2 linked regions of the Cricetulus griseus genome follow. The protein of the gene in region 1 purifies or fractionates together with the protein of each later gene. This does not show direct contact. Links are inferred from orthologs where the notes say so. Each region holds a gene or a part of one and is shown in the gene's direction. Other genes may lie near its edges. The genes, in order: Stk40 and Trib1.

Region 1 (11,090 bases):
TGTATTATCAATCCCCTTATTTTCTTTATTTGGATCCTGTGGTCTTCCCTTCATTTGGGGCCATCTAATTAGCATCCCATCCACTGAGATATCAACCTTCAAAGATTGCTGCTCCCTGACCAAAAGACCCCTTCATCAGTCACTCCTGACTCAAATGTTAGGGTTTTTTCTTTTTCTTTTTTGAGGCAAGGTCTCACTCTGTAGCCCTGACTGTCATGGAGATTGATATGTAGACCAAGCTGACCTCAGACTTAGAACTCCACCTACCTCTGCCTCCTGAGTCTGGGGAATTCAAGACAAGCACCACCTCATGCTCCTTAATTTTTTCCCCCATGTGTATATGAGTGTTCTGCCTACATGTATGTACAGACACCGAGTACATATCTGGTGTCCCTAGAGGTCAGAAGAAGGCATTGGCTACCCTGGAACTGGAATGTAGATAGCTGTGATCCATCATGCAGGCACTGGGAACTAATCTGGGTCCTGTTTGAGAACAACCAGTGCTGTTAACTGTTGAGCCATCACTCCACCGAATTTTTCCCCCTTTGTTATGCTTTGTTTTGGAGATGGATTGTGTAGTCCTGGCTCTCCTGGAATTCCATCTACAGACCAGGCTGACCTTGAACTCAGAGATCTGCCTGGCTCCTTTCTTTTAAAGACAGTTTCTCTATGTGGCCCTGGCTAGCCTGGAATTGACCCATTCTGCCCCTACTTGTGATTTGCTGGAATCAAAGACAAGCTCCACCACACCCAGCAGTGTTAGATTTTTGTTTGTTCATTTTTTGAGATACAGCCTCAAGCATCCAAACCTGGCCTTGAACTCATGGTCTTCCTGCTTCTACCTCCCAAGTGATGGTATTGCAGTACACCACTTAACCAACTTAGGTGTCAGGTTCTTTTTTGCTTTCCTCAGTACTGTTAGGCCTGAGAAGTTCTTGGATCTTAGATCAGTTAGGTCAGATGCAGCCCACAGCTCCAGAGCTACATGTCTCTGGAGGGTCTTGTTGCCTCACAGAGGGAAATGAGCTCGCTCCTGTCTCCTGGCAGCTCCTGAGTTCCAGCTGTGTTTTGTCTCTCTCACTCCCTCCTCACTCCCTCCTCTCTCTCTCTCTCTCTCTCTCTCTCCTCTCTCCTCTCTCTCTTCTCTCTCCTCTCTCCTCTCTCCTCTCTCCTCTTCCCTCTCTCTCTCTCCTCTCTCCTCTCCTCTGCTATCTCTCTCTCCTCTCCTCCTCTCTCCTCTGTCTCTGTCTTTCTGTCTCCCTCTCTCTCTCTCCTCTCTCTCCTCTCTCTCCTCCGCTCCTCTCTCCTCTGTCTCTCTCTGTCTTTCTCTCTGTCTCCCCCCCTATCTCTCTATCCCTCCTCTCTCTCTCCTCACTCCCCCCATACATACACACACACACACACACACACACACACACACACACACACACACAACACCAATCTCAGGCTCCTTTTCTCTGGTTTTCTAAATTTGTTTCTACATAGAATTTTCTTCCATTCCTACTTGAAGGCTGAGCTTTTGGAATTCAGAAACTAAAAATAGTGCCTACTTTCTGTCGTGTCTTCTATTCCCCGAGGTAACAAATGGGAGTGACTTAGCTGTGAACAAGAGGGACCCAGGAACACCGAGGAAAAGATGGCAATGTGTTTCAAGACGTCATTGGGGTCTAGATTGCCATAGCATTTGCTCAAACTTTCACATTCACCTTTCCTGCAAGCAAAGTTGGGGGTCCCATTGATGGTAGTACCCCCAAGAACTCTGAATGCTCAAACAGCATTGTTCATACCCACCTTTCATTCTTGGAGAGAATTTGGTGGGGGAAGAGGTACTGTTTGTAGGGAGGGGTCCACTGAAGCTCGGAAAGCTAGACAGGCATATGGCTTCCAAGTCGGCTCACACGAGCTACACAGGGGACATTGATAGTTCCATGTCTCAGCATGGCTGAGCAGATGGGACTTAAACCAGCCCAGTGAGTTCTAGTCAGGCAAGCCTGGCTGAAGGGCCAACAAGGGCAACAAGGACCCTTGAAGTTCTCATTGTTGTTCCAGAAGGATCCAGAGGTACAGTGCAGTGTGTGAAGAATGACAAAAGCAGTTTGGATTCTGCAAGGGGGTAGACCAGCAAGGTGGGCATGCTGGGTAGCTGGTAGACCATCGAGGTGGGCATGCTGGGTAGCTGGTTCTGACCCTGAGCTTAATGACTGTGAGGTAAGGCTGTAAGTAAGCAGCTGGGCATGGTGGCACACACCTTTGATCTTAGTGCTCAGAGGCAGGTGAATTTTGAGTTCAAGGCCAGCCTGGTCTGCCTACACAATGAGTTCTAGGCCAAGAATACATCATAAGACTCTGTCTCCCAAGTTGGGTGGGGGTAGGTGTTTTCAAGGAAAAGAATAAAATGACCTTTAGAGGTAAGGCCGGTTTTGGTGGGTTTTTTTTTTTTTTGTATTTTTTTTTTAAGATTTATTCATTTATTTATCATGATATACAGTGAGTGCCAGAAGAGGGCACCAGATCACATTACAGATGGTTGTGAGCCACCATGTGGTTGCTGGGAATTGAACTCAGAACCTCTGGAAGAACAGTCAGTGCTCTTAACCCCTGAGCCATCTCTCCAGCCCCAGCAAAGAAGCCTTTTTTTTTTTTTTTTTTTTTAATTTATTATGTATACAGTCTTGTGTCTGCATGCCAGCAGAGGGCACTAGATCTCATTCAAGGTGGTTGTGAGTCACTGGTTGCTGGGAGTTGAACTCAGGACCTCTGGAAGAACAGTCAGTGCTCTTAACCACTGAGCCATCTCTCCAGCCCAGTAAGGCCAGTTTTGTTTTTTTGTTTTGTTTTGTTTTTGTTTTCGAAACAGAGTTTCTCTAGTTTTTGAAGGCTGTTCTGGAACTCTATAGACCAGGCTGGCCTCGAATTCACTGAGATCCACCTGCCTCTGCCTCCCGAGGGCTGGGATTAAAGGTGTATGCCACCACCACTCCAAAAGGCCAGTTCTTAAAAGTCTTTAAAGGTGGAAAGGCTAAGAACCATGGACCCAGGAAGAAACAGGCCTAAAGAGGGAGGGGACTCTTCCCCAGCCTGAGGTCAAGTTAAATGAGTGCTGCACTGGGCAGGATGCTTTCACCTCCCAAAAAACTGGGATTACATGCCAGGGTTACTGCAATACTAGAGATGGAACTTGGAGCTTCATACATGCCAAGGCCAGCATTGTGCCATTCAGGCTACATCTCCAGCCATCCAATGCTCTTGACAGTCTATTGCTCATCTACCCTGTGAGTTAGACATTTGAAACTTGATAGAATACTGGATCTGGTGGGTACAGCCCTATAATCCAAACTGCTACGTAAATTGAGACAGATTACAAATTCAAGGCCAGCTAGTATGGGCTGAATAGAGAGCCAGCTCCAGCAAATTATTGAGACTCCCTCAGAAACAAAAGCAGTGGAGATACAGCCCAGTGGTAAAGTATCTGACTACCATAGAAGAGGCCATAGGTTAAGTCCCAAGCACCAAAAAAGCAAAAACAAACACCAAACCTTGCCATACTCAGGCCTTGGAACTTGGACACAGAGACGTTAAAAACCAGACACTAAGAAGAGCTGGGGTTCTGAAGCTTGAAGAAGCTCCTGGGGATGAGGTCTTCTCCCCTCCTGTGATAGTCCAATCTGCCTATACCTTGTCAAGAAGCCATTTTGAGCTGTTATGACAGGTGTCACTGTGTTATGGCAGCACCATCTGTCAGTGAGCTGGAGTTGGAGAGCCAGCAGGAGACTGTCACCACGCATGTATGTCCCCGAGATCCATGAGTTGGTGTCCTGATGACAGTTTTTTTTGTTGTTGTTTGTTTTGTTTTTTAAATCTCCTCTGGATGTCATATTTAGTTTCTATTTCTTACCGACTTCCCCTCTGCTTTGTTAAAAATCCTATATTTTGAGTCAGCTGAGAGTCTACAGGGAGTGGGGCGATGGTGTCAGCACCCAGTGATTCATCTTACTGATAATTAGAGATCTGGAAAACCCAAAACTCATTCCTGTCAGAGTCAGGGCTTCCGGAACCCTTCCTTAGTCTTCCCCCTTTGTCAGAGAGAGGAGCAAAGTGGGCCTCGCTCCGGGACGCCTGCCTTTGGGTCATGCGCCTCACAGAGGCTCCCGGACTGAGATCAGTGGGCATTTATAGGGTGTGGTGAGCCGGATCTGAATCTCATTGGGCCTTCACAGAAATGGTGTGGTGTGTTATCTCCATTTGCACAGCCAGGATTTGCATTTAGTTGCCTAGCATGTAAGCGATACAACAAGGATTCAAACGCTACCCTTTTGGAGTCCACCAAACTTTCTTCAAACCACAGCCCAACCATTATTGGCTGAGTGTCATTGTAAAGGTTACGCCCCTCTCTGGGCACTAGCTCCGGGAACTGTAAGCAGGTCTCTAAAGTGCTTCACTTTGCATAAGAAACGACCTTGGGAGCTGCTGTGATTGCTATTGTCATTCAGCCTTATCTACAGCTCAGTAGTCACCAAGCATTCAAAGGGACTAAGAAAGGAATATTGCCTGGGACAGCTAGACTTCATTAAGACCAGCCTTCATGTCCCGGCAATACCTTGTTGAGGAGATGACAAATGCACGCTTACCCCCTAGCAGAGCATAGGCGGGGCCACGGTTGTCTACTCGTGGATACAGAATGACCCGGAGAGGGGGGTGGGGGAGGAAAAAATAGAGTCATCCAGCACCCCTGTTAACTTCGAGACAAAGGAGTGGGACTATGGCCGCTGGTATTGCTGCCACCGAGCCCTTCTGGCTGCTTCTATATGGCAGTGGAGGGAAGCTAGGCTTTCCGAGGGCCCCCAGTGAGTCACCAGACTGATGCAATCCCTTTAAAGGGCTCATCTGCTGGTGCAAGAAGCTGATTCATGGAGGGCGTGGTTGCTGGAGGAGGAGAAAGGGACGGAAACTGTGGCAGGAGGGAGTGAGGTAGATAGCCGGCTGAGATCAATCATTGGAACTCTTCACTGTAATCTCCCTGAACAAGACTCTAGGGATGTCCAGGGTGGACTTGGCTATCCTCGTGGTTTCTAAAGAGCCTAAAGTGAAATGAATTGCTGACGTAGCGACAGCAGTCCTGTCTTCTCTTGAACCCAACCTAAGCGCTTTACCGCACAGATCTCCAGAGGCCGAGAAATGGGGACCAAGGAAATGCCTCTTTTCTAATGAATGCAGTACAGTTGGCGATTCTTGCGGCTACTAGAGACGTCCCCAACCGCAGCAAAGTGAGAGTAGGGTCGGCAAGGTTCTGCAGAGCCAAGGCTGGGAGGCGCCTCCGTTCAGTCCCCGTGGGTGTAGATTTGCGGTAAGTACCGCCTCCTGGTTGTCCAATCGTTTTACAGATTTCGACCCAGATTCCACCTAGAACCAATCGGCGATCTTATCTGGGCCTCCTGCCTGAAGGCTTCCGCCCATCCTCAAGATGGCGGCCCAAACCCAGACTCCGGCGAGGGGGCGGGGGGAGGGGCCGCGGGGCGATGCGTCACTTCCGTTGTCAGGTGGCGGCGCCGCAGCCATGGAAGGAGGCGGTGGCAGCGGCTGCGGCTCGGGTGGCTGCGCTGGGAGGCGGCGGTGAGTGGCTCCCACGCCCCCGGCCGGGCCCCGGCCACCGGGACGGAGAGCCGAGCAGCCCCGGCTCCGGGCTGCGGACTATGGGCGAGCAGCGCTGAACCCCCGGGAAAGGTGAGTCCGGTGTCCCGGGACGCCGAGCCGGGTGGGGGCTGAGTGCTGGCGGGGCGGGCCTCGGTGACCGTGGCGGAGGGACCCCGGTGACAGCTCGAAACTGTCCAGCGCGTCAGAAACGGCACTAGCGAATGCTCCCTCCGCCGTCGGGGGTCTGTCCTTGGCGGCGGCGGGCGGGGGCGGCGGCCGCCGGGAGCCTGGGTCTTCGCCGCAGCCCTGGGGAGTGGGCACTGCCCGCCTTGCCCAGACCCACTCAAACTGTCACTGGAGCAGCGGGCGTTAGCCCCGCGCCGAGCTTCCCCCTACAGAGACCCCCTCCTCGCCGTGCTTCTCTCCTGACCTAGAGAGTGACTTGAAAGTTAGGACGAGTCAGTCCCCAGGGAGAGCCAGCCAAGGCTTTCCTCCTGGAGCCCTCACCCGTTGGCACCGACACCATCGCTGCTGGGGAATTTTCACATCCTGGGCGGCGTTCAGGTGCGAGTCACAGCTACCTGCTTGCCAGATCCACGTTGGGCCGGTCTTCACCGTGGGAGAGCTTGCTGTGGTCAATGTTTCACCTGCAGGTCCTGGTCAGGCCCGCCCATTCCTACGCTGCTTGGCCCCACCTTTCAACCTTGGTTGGGAGCTTTCCGATTCCCGGTGGCTTTTCTGTCCACCCCCACCCCCCAGGTTGTTGGCGGAAGGAAGAGATGACAGCCGCCTTCAGTGGCAGGATAGACTTTGCTCCGTTTTAAGGCACTGAAGGAAACCAGTTGGCTTTGCTGGTTTTGAGAATCATTGAGGAAGAGGGTAGTCATGCTGGGCTGGGCACCTTTCCCTCTTGGCTGAGTAGTTTTGCATGAGATAAGGAAGAGCAAAATCTGTAGGGCCCAGAGAGTTCCCATTTGTAAACAGTGCTGGGAGTTCCTCCTGCCCTCCTTAATAGCTTTGTTATGCCAGTTGTTTGTAGATTAGACTTAGGACTGCCAGAGATAGTCCTCATTCATTCATTCATTCATTCATTCATTCATTCTTCACATAACAAAAGGGTCTTGCCTGCAAAGGCGAGTGCTGTGCAGTATTGGTAGGCTTTGGATCCATACTCCCTAAGTTCAAATTCTGGTGCGGCAGCTTTCTGGTTGTGTGATCTTGGACCCTTTGTATCAGTGTCCTCATTTGGAAAACATCTGTAATGATAAAGCATTATTATGGAGAGTTACGAAGTTAACAACACATAATAAAGAGATTCTTATCTGAACTAGTTCTCTGTCTAGTTAGAGGAAACTGACCTGCAAGTAGATAGTTGAAATGTGATCTACAAAAGCAACAGGAACTGAATGCTGAGGGGACCCAGTAAGGGAAGCTGCCAGCTCAGTCTGGGACATGGAGGCACGAAGTGGAGGGGTACCCTAGGAAGAGTGGACAGTGGTGACAGGAGTCCAGTCTAGAATGATGGAGCACACGCATGCGTGGGGGCAGGGGGCGCTTAGCCAGGTGAGAATAAAGTGGAAGATGCTGTATGGAGAGAATTGCAGAGAGTCAGAAAATTTGAGTTTATTTCAGAAACCTCAGCTTGCTCAGTATAGTGGTATGGAAGCTGACATAGTACAAAGCAAAGCACAATAAGTTGATGAGGAAATGGACATCTCAAAGGCTAGTAAAAAGCTTTTATCTGAGGGGTAACATGACTAGATCCATGTTTTAGATAGCTTTCTCTGTGCAAGAGAGGTGAAGAGCTGGAGGGTGAAAGAGCTAGAGACCTCATTAGAGACCACCTTGCTTCTCCAAGAGGAGAGCTGGCAAAGGCGTAATGGATCTGTGTTGAGAAGGCACCATTTGCAACCTGTGCTACGTGGCTAACCCTTTGCAGTGCCTGGCACATGCGCCCTTCTCTTTCTGAGATTTCAGGTTCCCTAAGCAGCTGGCAAGGTAGGTCTTCCCTCCCAGAAGGCGGGTTGTAAGGGGTGTTTTATTTTCACTCTTGTGCCTTTAATGGATAAGGTTGTAGAGGTTAAGAGCTTGTTTGGCTCAAGCATATCTGGTTCTAATCCCAGCCCTGCTAGCCAGTAGGGGCTACATCATGTCTCTATGCCTAGATTTCTCATTGTAAAAAGAAACAGTGGGACTACCTCCCCAGAAGGGCAGTTGGGAGGATTAAGATAGATGTTGCAGGGTTGGTTAGTGCTCAGCATGCACTGGGTGGTAAATGCTTAGCAAATGATAGTTTCCATTGCCAGCTGCAGGAAAGGTCTGGGAACTACTTGAAGGCTGTTCACAGGAACTGGAGCTGTCAGGACTGTCATGAGGGGTTATGAGAACACTGAATTTTATTGTATTCTTTCTGAAAAGATAGTAGGGACTTGACCAGTCTGTATAGGCGCAATGTACATTCATTCAGCTCTTTTATGAAAACCTTTTTAAAAAGTAGAGGCAGAGCTAGGTAGCACTGGGAGGCAGAGCAGGTGGATCTCTGGGAGTTTGAGGCCATCATGGTTTACCTAGTGACTTTTAAGACAGTGAAGGCTACATAAAGATACCTTGGCTTGCCTGGCATTGGTAGCACACACCTTTGAGCTCAGGGGGCAGAGGCAGGTGGATCTCTGTCAGTTCGAGGCCATCATGATCCTCAGAGTGAGTTCCAGGACAGCCAGGGCTACACACAGAAACCCTGTCTCGAAAAACTAAGAGAGAGAGACTGAGACTCTGTCTTAACCCTATCCCAACCCCCAGAAAAGTAGAACTGCTGAGAAATAAAACTGTTTTGTTTTGGCCTTTTGAGACAGGGTCTCTCTGTGTAGCCCAGGCTGGCTTCAAATTTGTGTTGATCCTCCTGCCTCTGCCTCGATAGTGCTGGAATTACATACTTGTGCCTCCAAGTTTGGCAGATAAATAGCATTTTGTTTGTTTTTCAAGACTGGATTTCTCTGTGTAGACTTGGCTGTCTTTGGAACTCACTCTTTAGATCAGGCTCGCCTAGAACTCAGAGATCCTCCTGTTTCTGACTCCTGGGTGCTGAGATTAAAGGTGTGCACCACCACCACCACCACCACCACCACCACCACCACCCAGTGATAAATAGTATTTTAAAGTATGAACTGGAGAAAATGTATGTTAAGTTCTCTGGAGTCCCCACTAATGAGCCTAGTCTGGAACCTGAGTTAGCATCTTCAGGAAACATCACATTTGATATATGTGTGGTGCATCAGGTATAATGTATGCATATGCTTAGGTATATGGTGGCTCAAAGTAGAGCGTCTCTGTTGTGCACCTGTGAATTTCCCCATGTGACTGTCACGAGCTGGGTACAGGAAGAGGGGAAGGACAGACTCTGCTTTGAAGGAGGGTGTGTCCAGAGAAGACAGGCACCCTGATCCATTGGCACTTGCACAGACAGGCCCTGGGGAATCATTCCCAGAAGTCTGTGCAGTATGAAGTACAAATCAAGGGAACAGAAGGTATGACTTGCCTGGGGACGAGGACATTGAGGAGAGGTTTGGAGAGCCCTTAGAACTTTGAGAAGTGGATAGTTTCCTGGGGTCCTGTGAAGCACTTTAGGCAGTGGAAGCAGTGTGACATAGGTGTGTGTGTGTATGTGTGTGACAGTTTAGGTACCACAGGGGTTCTATCATAGACTGTAACAGGACTTGGCTGCAGGACGTTCTGGAGAGGTAAGTAGGTAGGTACCCAGTGAAGATGCTCCAACTTTGTTATTCTGTTGGTGCCTGAGTGCTGGAGACACATTAAAGTTCATCTTCCAAAGAGCCCTCTGGCTTCAGAAGAAAGATGGGCCAGGGAGAGTGAGTGCTGCAGTAATCACAGGCAGGCTAGTGGGGGCTTGGACCAGGGCAGCTGAGAAGTTGGATTGCTATGAGTTCAAGTCCAGCCATAGTACAACAGTCTCAAAAAAAAAAAAAAAAATACTGTGTAGGAAGGTTTGGAAGAGGAAAAAGAATGTGATCAAAACATAGTGTATAAATCTTTTAAAAATAAAAAAACTTGAAAGTTTGAGGATGTTGGTAGAGTGTTGGCAGCTATGTTGGTAGAGTGTTTGCTTGGCATACATGGAACCCCTCGTTCAGTCCCTAGCAGTGCATAAAAACTGGGTGTACTGGTGCATGCCAGTAATTCAGCACTGGGGAGCTAGAAGCAGGAGGCTTACAAGTTGCTGATCATCTGCTACATAGCAAGTTTGTAGCCAGCCTGTGATACACTACACTAGCTAGACCCTGTCTAAAAAGTGGGGTGGATTGGATATAGGAAAGCAGCCTGAAGCAAGAGTATCTTTTTTTCTCCACCACCTTCTCAAGTAAGTTTGTAGCTTCAAGGTGGCCCCCAGACTCCCCTACACATCTTCCCAAGCCCTGGAATCAAGAACCCAGGGGGAGAAGCTAGTGTTGTGTTTTTTTTTGCTATTTTAGAGATGGTTCCATTGATAGGGTGCATTCTGTCCTTCTAGGATACATCATGCACCGTATTGAGTGTAAATGTTGAGCAGGCTTTTAGCTGGACTGACTTTCTTTTCCCTTTTCAAATTATTTTTTGTTTGTATGTGTGTGTGGTCACATGAGTTTATGTTCACTGAATGCGCGTGTCTATGGAGGTCAGAGCGCGTCGTCAGAACTCTTGGACCTGGAGTTACAGGTAGTTATGAGCTACCTGATGGGGGTGCTGTGAACTGAACCCAGGTCCTCTGCAAGGGCAGTAAAATGCTCTCAACCAGTAGGCCATTTCTCCAACCCCTGATTTTCTTCATACATGTGATTTAGCACACCCTAAATATCTGTGTGTGGGACAAATGCCTAGAAGGGCTATTGCCTCAAAGAGCTGCTTTTGCTTCTTCTTTGACAAGGTCCTTCTATAATAGCCCAAGTTGTCCTCAGACCTACAACATAGCCCAAGCTGGCCTTGAACTCGCCACCCTCCTTTCTCAGCCTCCTGAGTGCCAAGCCTTCCTAAACCCCAGCAAGTATGCTACTCCTGAGTGAGCAGATAAAGCCAATCATCTTTCTCCTGCTTGTGGCAGATATAGGGATAAGCGAGTGAGGGTGGGTGGCAATATGGATTCCTGGGGCTTAGCTCTCTTCAGGCCTGGTGACTGCAAGGACATCCTAGTTGTCAGGAAGCAGACCTGAGGTGGTGTCCCCTCTAAATATGCATGCAGACTGCCACCTACCCTCAAGAGGGTTAGACATAGACTCTTTAGCCTTAAAGAAGTTTGCTAGCTGGGCGATGGTGGCGAACGCCTTGAATCCCAGCACTCGGGAGGCAGAGGCAGGCGATCTCTGTGAGTTCGAGACCAGCCTGATCTACAAGAGCTAGTTCCAGGACACCCTCCTAAGCCACAGAGAAACCCTGTCTCGAAAAAACCAAAAAAAAAAGTTTGCTGCCCA
Region 2 (11,035 bases), on another chromosome or scaffold:
ACCTCCTCTGCATCTCACTGGTGTCTCTGACTCACCCTGAGCTCCTCTCTCTGCCCAGAAGTCCCGCCTATTTTTTCCTGCCTAGCTATTGGCCATTCGGCTCTTTATTAAACCAATCATGAGGCACCTTAAGGACACATCGTCACAGTGTACGAAATGATTATCCCATCACAGCATGGAGGTACAAATGGGGCTCCGGGTGTCTCGATGCAGGGGCACCCAGAACCCTCCAGCATCGGGGGTGCACACCTCCCTTTTCACTCCCCGGAATGGATTAAGCCTGAGCAGATCAGCAGCTCAGCCTCATCCAGAAAAATCAATAGGGCTTCCCTGTGTTGTGCAATGTGCAAGTTCCTGAAAAGTCAGAGCTAAATCAACCTCCCCTCCAACTCAACCAGTCCTGAGCACCAGGTGTCAACTTAGCACTCTGCTGAGGCTCTGCGGGACAAGTGCTCACACTCACACCCCTACCCCAAATCAGCGATGATTCTGGCTTCTGCCTCACATTGCCAGTGTACCAGGGGAGTTGGCAAGTAACACCATGTGGCAGACGTTGTTACAGAGCCAACATCACCATTTAACCGGGAAGAATTACTTCCTGCTTGCATCCTATAAGAGAAGAATTACTTCTATTCATTGTCTTGGGTTTTCATGCAAAGGCCTTTTGAGTTCTGGCCTATGGCAAGCCTTAATAATCCCGGTCACCTCATGTTCACGTACAAGCCAATTACCCTAAAGCACTTTTCATAATTGTATCTATTTCTTTCCCTTGCAGGGAAAGAAAAGCAAATCTTTCTTATACCCTTTTCATAGGTGAGGCAATCAAGGTACAAAAGGAGCAGTTGGCTTGTCTGGTCAGGGCCTGAGAAGCCGGAGGCAAGTTCAGTCCAGACTTGGCATCAAAGAAAGCCTCAGGACCAAATCAAGACAACCTCTCTCCCTTGTCTCCTGTCCTACCAGATGGCGGCTCGCTCAGCCAGTGGTATGTGTGTCCACTCCTGCACACATAGCTTCAGAGCTTAAGTTCCTGCTTTCTTGGGCCATCTACAGCCTGTTGTCTTCCATGTGCCGTGGAGTCTCCAGCCCTGTCCCTGCCTGAATGTTGTTTTTTTTTTTCCCCCCCCACAGTCTCTTGTCGCTTGCAGTCCCTGTGGGTGACCCACAATCCATGGCCACTTGTGGGACCCCTCTTAAGTGAGAGATCTTGAGCTGCCACTAGAGTGAGTAAGGTTTGACCTCCCTTTCCTGGGAGCGCAGCTCAGTGGGAAGCACCACAGAAGGTGTGACTTCGTTGCACTTGGATGCCGTTCACACCTCCTCACTGCAGGTGCTGGGGATGAGTGGGAGCCCATTAGCTTGGCAGAGGGAGAAGAAAGAGTCCGGTGGGAGGGGCTGTTAGGGGCAACTGTGCAGAGGTGTGAATTGGCAGGTGTGTTTGGGGCCCTGCCAGGACCTGGCACGGGTAGGACAGGAGACCAGGAGACGAGAAAGACAGTCTTGAGAATGAAGCCGGACCTGAATGAAGGTCTACTTTTCTAGTCTGGGGTGTGGATTTTCTCTGAGTCCTTCAGGGGCAGGCCAGGGCTTGATGTGATCAGGTTTACGTTTCACCAGGTATAGTTGTGCATTTGAAAAAAAAAAAATGAATTAAGGGAATAGAGGGCAGCTTGACTTTGTGTGTGCACCTGTAACCGCAGCACTTAGTAGGTACCCCGACACATAGTAGGTATTTGCTGTTGTCTGAAAGGGTGGTTTCATGGCTCAGAAGCTCACTGTAGGAATCCAGCATACAGCCTTGCACTAAGTTGGGGGGCAGGCAGAGAAAGAGAAGGGGCTACACAAGGAAACAGACTCCAGGTCAACGAGTTTGCTACAAAGAATTTAATAGGGGGAACTGGTTCCAAAGGTATTGGAAAAGCAGGAATAAAACAGAACAAAGCATAGGGCTGAGGGTGACTCAGAATTTAACAACAGGAAGTCACTGTCACTCGAGGACTAGGAGACAAGGTGGTATCACCTGATCCCAGGAGCCAGAATCCTTACAGTGAGCTGGGCTTATGAAGAGAGGGTGCCATGGACTGGGGTCCCCAGGAGCTACTCATTTGGAAATGAGAAACAGAAGGCAGGAAGTGGAAGGCAGGGAAGGAGCTGGATGGGGCAGGAGGAGTAGCTGGGGCAGGAGGAGTAGCTGGGGCAGGAGGAGTAGCTGGGCTCACTGCAATCTAAGAAGAATTCCATGGCCTCCAGCTGGGGGCTTGGAAACTGGAAATGCAGAGGCCCTGGCAAGAGGACCCGGCCATCATCCTTCCACCAGAGATAGTCACTGGATGTGAGGATGGCCAGTGTGAAGATTGTCAAGGCGGTTCCCGAAAGAGCTTCTGCTATGCCCTTGCGGCAACCAGGGAGGAGAGTCCAGTCTCAAAGAGAAGGGTAGATGTGGGAAGCTCCTGGTAACTCTCCTCTGCCTCCCACCTGCTCCTGGTCTTCCAGAGGCTCCCACCAAAGTGTAGCAAGGTGTGCAAAGCGCTAAGAGAGCTCGAGAAAGTGAGTTTGTGAAGATCATCTCAGTGTTTAGCTGAGGTGTCCTGAAACAATGGTGGTCTTTGGTGATGTAAACGGGTTACGATGAACTGGCTCTGTAGAACTCAGAGATCCACCTGACTCTGCCTCCTGAGTGCTTGGATTAAAGGCCTGCACCACCACCTCCAGGTTTAGAGAAACTTTTTGTTTGTTTGTTTTTCGAGACAGGGTTTCTCTGTGTAGCTTTGGAGCCTATCCTGGCACTCGCTCTGGAGACCAGGCTGGCCTCGAACTCACAGAGATCCACCTGCCTCTGCCTCCCGAGTGCTGGGATGAAAGGCGGGCGCCACCAACGCCCGGCTGAGAAATTTCTTAAACATACTAGCTCCCAACAACCTGTGAAGATCAGCTCCCTGCCTTCCTGGGAGCTGCCCTGTCCTTCTTGGCTAGCCCTCCTGGCCAGCCACTGTTCATAGCTCTCCTCTTAACAGCTCTCCTAACCCAGGTCCAGGGTGTTGCAGATGGAGGTCCCCCTAATGGTTCCTTTCTATGCAAATTGTAGTCTCACAAATGTAGTCTCTTCGGAGACTCCTTGCGTGCTGTTAGCACTTAGCCTTGGAAGGAGACTCGGGAGACAGCCTTTCAAGGAGACACAGCAAGTTCTAGGCTTCCGTTTCTTTCTTGGGGCAAAAAGTAACCCTGTGAAGTGAGCACAGAACCAAAGTGTAGCAAGGTGTGCAAAGCGCTAAGAACAAGGAGCCTGTTCCCCCCACCCCATCCCAGCATTACCGGTTCAATTTAAGTTGTCTAATCCCCAGCGTCTAGCCCTTGGAGATGCTTAATTAGCGTTTGTTGAATGGCTGGAGAATTAATAATGAAAAGGATTTATTCTTGGGCTTGACCTGGTTTTAGAAAATTAATTATTCAGCATAAGCACAAGGATTTTGATAATAGGTATCTGTGCTGAGTGAGGATCCAGGGACTCCAAACTGACCTGGTTTGCGAAAGGGGGGGTGGGGGTGGGAGGGGACAGAAACCCTAACAACACAAAATGTGACTGCAAAGCAGCTTCCAGAGCAGGGTAAGCCAGTTCCAAGGGCACCCAACTCAGGCTGCACGAACGCGCACACGCGACCTTGTCCGGGTGCAGGTAGTGTAGTGTCTACCCCTGGCGGTGGATCCAATGACCGGTACTCCAATACCCTGGACCGCTCTGGCGCCCTAGACCCTACCTAGGGCGTGGACGGAGGCGGGAGGAGACAGGAATCTGGCGGCTGCCACGTGGGCCCCTTCCGCCAGTTCCCCACATCCTTTGTTTCCCACCGGCCGGAGCTCAGGAAGCTCTTTCTGCGAGTCACCGCGAAGGGGCGGCCCAGGAGCCTGGAGAAGAAGCTATTTCCGTGCAAATCGGGGCGGGCGAGCGGGCGAGCGGGAGGGGCGTGGAGGTGGAGGCAGAGCAGAAGGCCCAGTGTTTGCTTTTATTTCATCCAACAGAAGGTTCTATTTGTGGAAGCGAACAGACGCTGGGGATTAGAGCCGGGAGGAGGCAGGAAAAGGAAGGGGGAGAGAGAGAGAAAAAAAAAAAAGCCACACTCACTACCACGCACAGGTCTTTCCCCGGAACTACCGCGTGGGGGGGTGGGGTGGGGTGGTGGTGAATGACTGCAAATGGAATGCATCACCTTCCCTCTCGCCCCTTCCTCCGGGCTGCAGCCGCGACTCGGCGGCGCCCGCAGCTCCACCGGGAGCTCCCGGAGTGCAAGAGCCACGGGGGACGTCCCCACCGGGGCTGCAGCCAGCGGCTCCCGCCGAGCCCGGACGGAGGGGAGCCGCGCGCCGGCCGGGAGCTCGCACTCCATTGTGTTGTGTGAATGGTGCGCGCGCGCCAATCAGCGGCCGCCTCGCCCCCGCCCAGCCCCGCCCACTTCCCCGGGACCCTGACGTCACGGGAGCTTCTCCTCCGCCCCCCTCCTTCGGCTCCGGGCCGCCGAGCCCGCGGGGCCAGCGCTCGGGTGCGCGCAGCCTGCCGCCCAGCCTAGCCCCGGGGGGCGCGTGCAAGCGTGCAAGCGTGCAAGCGTGCATGCCTGCGCGCGCGCCCAAGACGGCCCCGGACGGACGGACGGACGTTCCCACCTGCGCCCAGGCGCGCGCAGTCGGGAGCATCCCCGGGCCTCCGGCCACCCCCGCTGTCCCCCGCTTCCCACTCCATCACCCCTCCTTCCCCCCCTCCCCTCCCCAGTCTCCTCCCTCCGCTCCGGTGACTGTGAGCCGGGGCGACGGGGCTGGAGTCGTCGCAGCCACCTCATTGCACAACCCGGCTTCCCAACTGTTTACACAGCCCGGCCTGTGAGTGTGTGTGTGAGTGTGTGTGTGAGTGTGAGTGTGTGTGTGTGTATACAGCGTGAGTCACCGGGAGGCGGAGGAGGTGGAGGAAAAGGAGAAGGAGCGCACAGGCCGGCATCAGTGCGGCGCACACACTCACATCCAGCCACTCTCTCTCTGAGCGCGGCTCGCACGCTCCACCGCCCGCCCGCCCGCTCGCACTCCCGGAGCGCGCAGGATCCCGAGCGGCGCGGCAAAGTTGTGCCGGCTTCTACTCCCCACTTAATTGCTTTTGGAAGTGAGTGCCTTGGCTCCGGGAAGCCACCGAGCCTGCGGAATCCGATCCTCCAGACTCCAGCGCCCCGGAACCCGGGGAAGCCGGGGAAGCCGGGCCGCCTCCCCGTCCCGGGACTCAGCCCCCAGCGTCGGCAACAATAGCGGCCCCGATCGCCGCCGCCGCCGCCCGCGAGGCGCCCAGACCTGGTGGCCGCGGGAGTCTGGGGACCCCGGGTGGCCTCCCTCCCCAGCCCGGACGCGTGGCCAGCGTGGTCCTCGTGTGGAAGACGCCGGCGTCCGGGAACGGCTGTCGTCGCGCACCTCTCGGGGACCGATCGGAGCTCCGTCTGCCAACGGCATCCCGAGGGCTGGAAGGAATCGCAGCGCCGAGCCCGGGATTTCCAAAGCCGGGGCCGCTCCGGCCAGGGCCGCGATGCGGGTCGGTCCCGTGCGCTTTGCACTCGGCGGCGCCTCGCAGCCCCGCTCGGCTCCGGCTCTGCTCTTCCCGGCCGCCCGGGCTACCCCGGCCAAACGGCTGCTGGACGCGGACGACGCGGCGGCCGTGGCGGCCAAGTGTCCGCGCCTCTCCGAGTGCTCGAGCCCCCCCGACTACCTCAGTCCCCCGGGCTCGCCCTGCAGCCCGCAGCCTCCGCCCTCCGCTCAGGGGACCGGCGGCGGCGGCAGCTGTGCGAGCGCACCCGGGCCCAGCCGCATCGCCGACTACCTGCTGCTGCCCCTAGCCGAGCGCGAGCATGTGTCCCGGGCGCTGTGCATCCACACCGGCCGCGAGCTGCGCTGCAAGGTAAGCATCCCGGGGGCCAGGGCTGCGGGCCTGGCACGAGGGCTTGGCTACCCCGGATCGCGCCCCGGCCGGAGCTTTGGGGTTGGCAGAGCCGCTAAGGAAGGGCTTTGAAAAGTCGGATCAAGAGGGCGTTTTGGTCAGCTTCGCCCCTGAGGGCTTTCCTGTGGAGTGTTCTGCTGAGGGACCCGCGGTCTAGGGCAAGTGGAGGGGTTCATCTCGGTGCTTTTTTTCTTTGGCGCTCAAGTGTGGCTAGCGCGTGGCGTCCCATTTAAGTTTGGAATTGCAATGGATTCCAGGGCCATGCCATTGCCCTGCTCTCATCCCCCCCTCCTCCCCCTGCCCTGGACGGACGCCCTGCAGTGGGTGCCTCCTCCCGGCTTGGAGCAGCTGGCAGGCTCTCAGCCGGACGTTCGCGGCACAGGCTCTGCAGACACGGTGTCCGGCTTCTACCCAGGGGGTTCTGGCTGGAACCAGAATACAGCCCACCCCAGGGAGTCGCGGGCCTGCGGGGGTTTAAGCCTGGGAGGGGCTCCAGGCCTGATTGAGAAGAGTGTTGAGGAGCTCCCAGGGGCTCTCGCTTCCACTCGCTGTAGTTTGCGTCCGCCAGTTTTTATTGCAACCTTAGGGGGAGTACAACTCCATAGGGGATGGCCCGGCTCTCCTGGAGAGCGCGGAGCCGTGGACGGTCTGTGCTTGGTGAGCGCGACGCTCACACCCTGGTCCACCGAGAGCCCCCACCGACTGCTTTCATTCCCCTGGAGTTAAGAGTGGCTCCTGGGTTTTCAGCAGCTCACCTGAACTCCCCTCTCCCCGCTTGCTGGTGCCACCTACTGTCTACTCGCGTGAAATCTCAGATGCGTGGTCAAGCCCAGAGGGGGGGAAAAAACCTTTTTTTCTTGGTGGATGAGAGCAGTTTTGGAAGAGAAACTTGTGTGGAGGGGTGGGTGGGGCGGGAGGAGAGAGCAGCAGAGGGATTCCCCCCCCCAGTTGGTACCAGAGCAGCCACCTCAGAGGTGGGGTGGGTCTGGGTCATTGTGCAACCCCTTCCAGTTCCTCCGAGCAGATAATAGCTGAATCCAGATGGTGACAGCCCGTGTGTCACCATTTCCAGTTGCGTCTAGGATATGAGTAACCGGAGTGAACAAAAGGCCCTTAAAGAGACCAGCCAGCAGCTTCTTAGAGGATTTGCCCTCCGTTCTGGGGGTGGGGCAACTAAGGTGGGGGGAGGCGTGTAAACAGATGAAAACGGCTTTTCTGAGGTGCCCATCCCCTCCTGTCGGAAGGTACACCCCAGGCTGCCTCCACCTGAGTCACAGCCATAGGAAGGTTGCTTAAGGCAGCCTTGTCAGTCTCTCCCTCCAAGTCATCAGTCCCTCTGACTAATGACATCTCTACATGTTTGCTGCCTCTGCTTCCCCTTGGAGGCAGCGAAATCGCCACATTCCTTGGCTGTGCTGAGCTGAGCCTTCTGTGTTTCATTGTTGCTTTTCACCCTTGCAGGGATGCTGGGGTCCCTTCCCTTAGCTACCTTGTAGCAAGCCTTATCTATTAGGAAGATCCAATCCACGTCAGGCTCGGCTCCCAGGAGCTGATACCAGGCCCCTAAAAGACAAAAGTATGTGTGGACCAGGGTAGGCTTTGGAAGTTGCTAGCCGGGATCCCAAGGTGTGACTTGCTTTAAGGGCATCATAGCAGCTGGAGCTGCATAAACGGCAGAGAGAATGGACTATCCAAAGGTTGAGGACCTCAGCCCAGCTTCATGTAGGACCTGGCGGGCAGCCCCTGAACTTCTGGCCCCTAAACAGGTCACTTTATCTCCGCAGGTGTTTCCCATTAAACACTACCAGGACAAAATCAGGCCTTACATCCAGCTGCCGTCGCACAGAAACATTACCGGCATCGTGGAAGTAATCCTTGGGGAGACCAAGGCCTACGTCTTCTTCGAGAAGGACTTTGGGGACATGCACTCCTATGTGCGAAGCCGGAAAAGGCTTCGGGAAGAGGAGGCCGCTCGGCTCTTCAAGCAGATAGTCTCCGCCGTTGCCCACTGCCACCAGTCGGCCATCGTGCTGGGGGACCTGAAGCTTAGGAAGTTTGTCTTCTCCACGGAGGAGAGGTGAGCAGCTGCCACAGCACCTCCTGTGGCCCTTTGGAACCAAAAAAACTGAAGGTACAGGTCATGCAGTTAGGTGCAAGCCAAACCCAAGGCTCAGGTCTTGCCTGGTTTAGTATTAAGTCATGCTTCTGGAAGTTTGTGGTCAACCTTGGTTCATTCTTTGCCCTGTTGGATGGCGAAGCCTAGAGACACCTTGGCGCTTTTGAGGATGCTGCCTAATGACAGATACACTTCTATTTCTGTCCCAGGCTCAGGCTTTCTTGTCAGGGAGGTCAGTCCAACGGGGAAAAGGTGTTCACCTGTCCTGGAAAGCACAGACTCCAAGAGGTGGTCAAATCCTGGCTTCCATCAGTGCCTGGGCTGTGCCTAGAAGACATGACAGAGCTGGTTAGGCTGTTGTGTTTGCAGAATTCCAGCCAGCCCTACCACACTGCATTCCTGCACTGTTTTAACCTTGGTACCCTCACCCCACACCCCGAAATGGTTTGCTCACATTTTCTGGTGAGATTTTAGCCATCTCATCGGCTCCATCTTCAGAAAATACCCACATTGAAGAATAAATGGAAGTTGGCTAGCACGCACCGCTAAATATAGTTCTTGGCTTACCTCATAAAGGACAAGGTGTGCTTGATAAGGGACTGAGGAGACACTAAGATTTGAAGTGGAGGTTTCACCAGGAGAACTCAGGAAGCTGTGTGAGATGCCCCACACTTCATCCTGAACACAGACCATATCTGTGGTGGGGAGAGGTAGAGTGTGGAACTGGCCTTGTTCGAGTGAGTGACTTTGTTGAATATAGTTACACAGGAGTACCCTACCTGGTCACTTTTACCTTTAACTGGGCGGGGGTGGGGGGGTGGGGGGTGTGCGAGGGTCTAGAAAGTACAGGGTTGAAGCCCTCAAAGTATGAGTTCGCGTCTGACCTTGCGCTAGCTATTGAAACATACTGATTAGCAAAGAGGAGCAAACTGTTTGCTGCGAAGAGGCGTCCAGTTCCTGGAATGTGCTTCTTTGATAATATGCTGATGCCTCTTTTTGAAACATGTGCTACACACCTCCTCGCTGGTTTTTGAAATCTGCATTGCACAGGCCGGTGTCATGGGCATAGGGTTTGGTAACCCGAGGGTTAAGCAACGGCAGGCTGACGCTATTCATGTAACCAGCACAGGTGCAGGGTTTTAGTCCTACAGGAGCCAATCAGGGGCAGACAGTGTGGGTTGAGTCATATTTTCCGTTTACAGAACCGATGGGTATTTTACATAACAGGGAGGTCACGCTGAGGACACACCGAAGTCAGTACATGTGTGCTTCACTCCAGGGAGCAGGAAGGCTGGAAAAGAGAAAAAAAATAGAGAGAGAGAGAGAGAGAGAAAGAAACCAGACCTTTGAGAGGAAAAGGAATTGACCAAATGTTTGCACGTAACTACACAAGAAGTGACTTACTGAAATAGGTCTGTTTCGGAGAAGCAGGCACCGGAAATTAGAGGTGCCCCACGTGGCCGTGGGGGTTCTAGGAGATGTGGGTGGCTGCTTCTACCTAGGGAGGGAGGCACCTGCAGCTTCGTAAGCGTTCCTTTGGCCAAAGGTCTTCTAGATTATTCTTTCCAGTTCAGTCTTGGTTTCTGTGCTTTCCTTCGCATTCTCCACTGACTTCTTCAACAGAGGTTCTCCACAAGACAGAGGCTCGTGTAGGATCTGCCTCAGTCCCTGTGTAGGGTCCCTGCAACCCTCAGATCCATCAGCCTCTTGTTTCTTCGCCTAATTTCTCTAGGTTTCAGCTAAGTGTTCTTACAGTGAGACAGCCCAATAATCACAATTGAACAACTTTCCCATTGTGGTTATTGCAGCTGGGACTCGGGTGAACGGAATTTCCTTAGTGTGGTCAGTGGTGTCAACTGGCCTGGGCAGTGTCCTGCTAAGAGACTAGTGTAGTGGCCTGTAGGAGATACAGGCCCTACCTGAGGAAGGAGGACACCTATGTTTGCTTCTCCCCTGACAGCTTTTGTAGAACATGCCAGTCTTGCTCTGAAACCAGCTCTCCATTCTGCAATGTGAACTTTGTCAATTGTGTAACCCTATTAGGATATCTCTTACAAGCCCTAGCTTCGTGAATGTTGTTTGAGACTTTGCATCATACCCCTCCGCCCCGGGCCTCTCAATACTTTGCAAATATTTATTGCAGTTTGTATTGGTTTGTGAAATCGCTGGTCTTGGGTGCTTGCAGGCCAGCGCTTACTAGACGAAGGGTAAATGGTATTCCTGCAGCCTTGGCTGTGAGTGCCTCTGGGCGCTGTTATTGGGAAGGCCTTGGTTTTCCGTTGCAGACGGTCTGAAAATAATCACTCCGTTTATTTCTCTCTCCCACAGAACCCAGCTTAGGCTGGAAAGCCTGGAAGATACACACATCATCAAGGGAGAAGATGACGCCCTCTCAGACAAGCATGGCTGCCCGGCCTATGTGAGCCCTGAGATCCTCAACACTACTGGGACCTACTCAGGGAAGGCTGCGGATGTCTGGAGCCTCGGGGTGATGCTCTATACGCTTTTGGTTGGACGATACCCCTTTCATGACTCAGACCCGAGTGCCCTTTTCTCCAAAATCCGCCGTGGACAGTTCTGCATCCCTGAGCACGTTTCTCCCAAAGCCAGGTGCCTCATCCGCAGCCTCCTGAGACGAGAACCTTCGGAGAGACTCACAGCTCCCGAGATCTTGCTCCACCCCTGGTTTGAGTATGTCTTGGAACCAGGGTACATTGACTCAGAAATGGGAACTTTGGACCAGATTGTTCCCGAATACCAAGAGGAAAATGACATTAGTTCCTTCTTGTGCTGATCCCAAAAACAACCTCAGAAACCTCGTAATTCTCACACATGGTATTTCCATTTCTGATGATGGGCAGGCCCTCTTACACGGTGCCAGCCAGATTTGGGGACAGAGCACTATTGTCCCTATGGGGCTCAGTGTGGTGCCACCTCTCTAGGCTGAGTGACTTGATTTG

The links.
Region 2: the proteins of Stk40 (region 1) and Trib1 purify together in Homo sapiens (affinity purification with mass spectrometry; 3 studies listed by BioGRID and IntAct, counting the BioPlex papers as one, with this or other methods). This does not show direct contact. The link is inferred for Cricetulus griseus from reciprocal best matches to the Homo sapiens genes STK40 and TRIB1.

The regions. Positions count from the first base shown.
Region 1 is NC_048595.1:26,938,385-26,949,474, reverse strand, and holds the start of Stk40 (serine/threonine-protein kinase 40), read left to right. Parts: upstream 1-4,959; 5' UTR 4,960-5,344; intron 5,345-5,528; exon of another isoform or gene 5,529-5,721; intron 5,722-11,090. UniProt on the Homo sapiens protein: May be a negative regulator of NF-kappa-B and p53-mediated gene transcription.
Region 2 is NC_048603.1:27,985,646-27,996,680, reverse strand, and holds the start of Trib1 (tribbles homolog 1), read left to right. Parts: upstream 1-5,520; 5' UTR 5,521-5,551; coding exon 5,552-5,920; intron 5,921-7,743; coding exon 7,744-8,036; intron 8,037-10,403; coding exon 10,404-10,869; 3' UTR 10,870-11,035. UniProt on the Homo sapiens protein: Adapter protein involved in protein degradation by interacting with COP1 ubiquitin ligase. The COP1-binding motif is masked by autoinhibitory interactions with the protein kinase domain.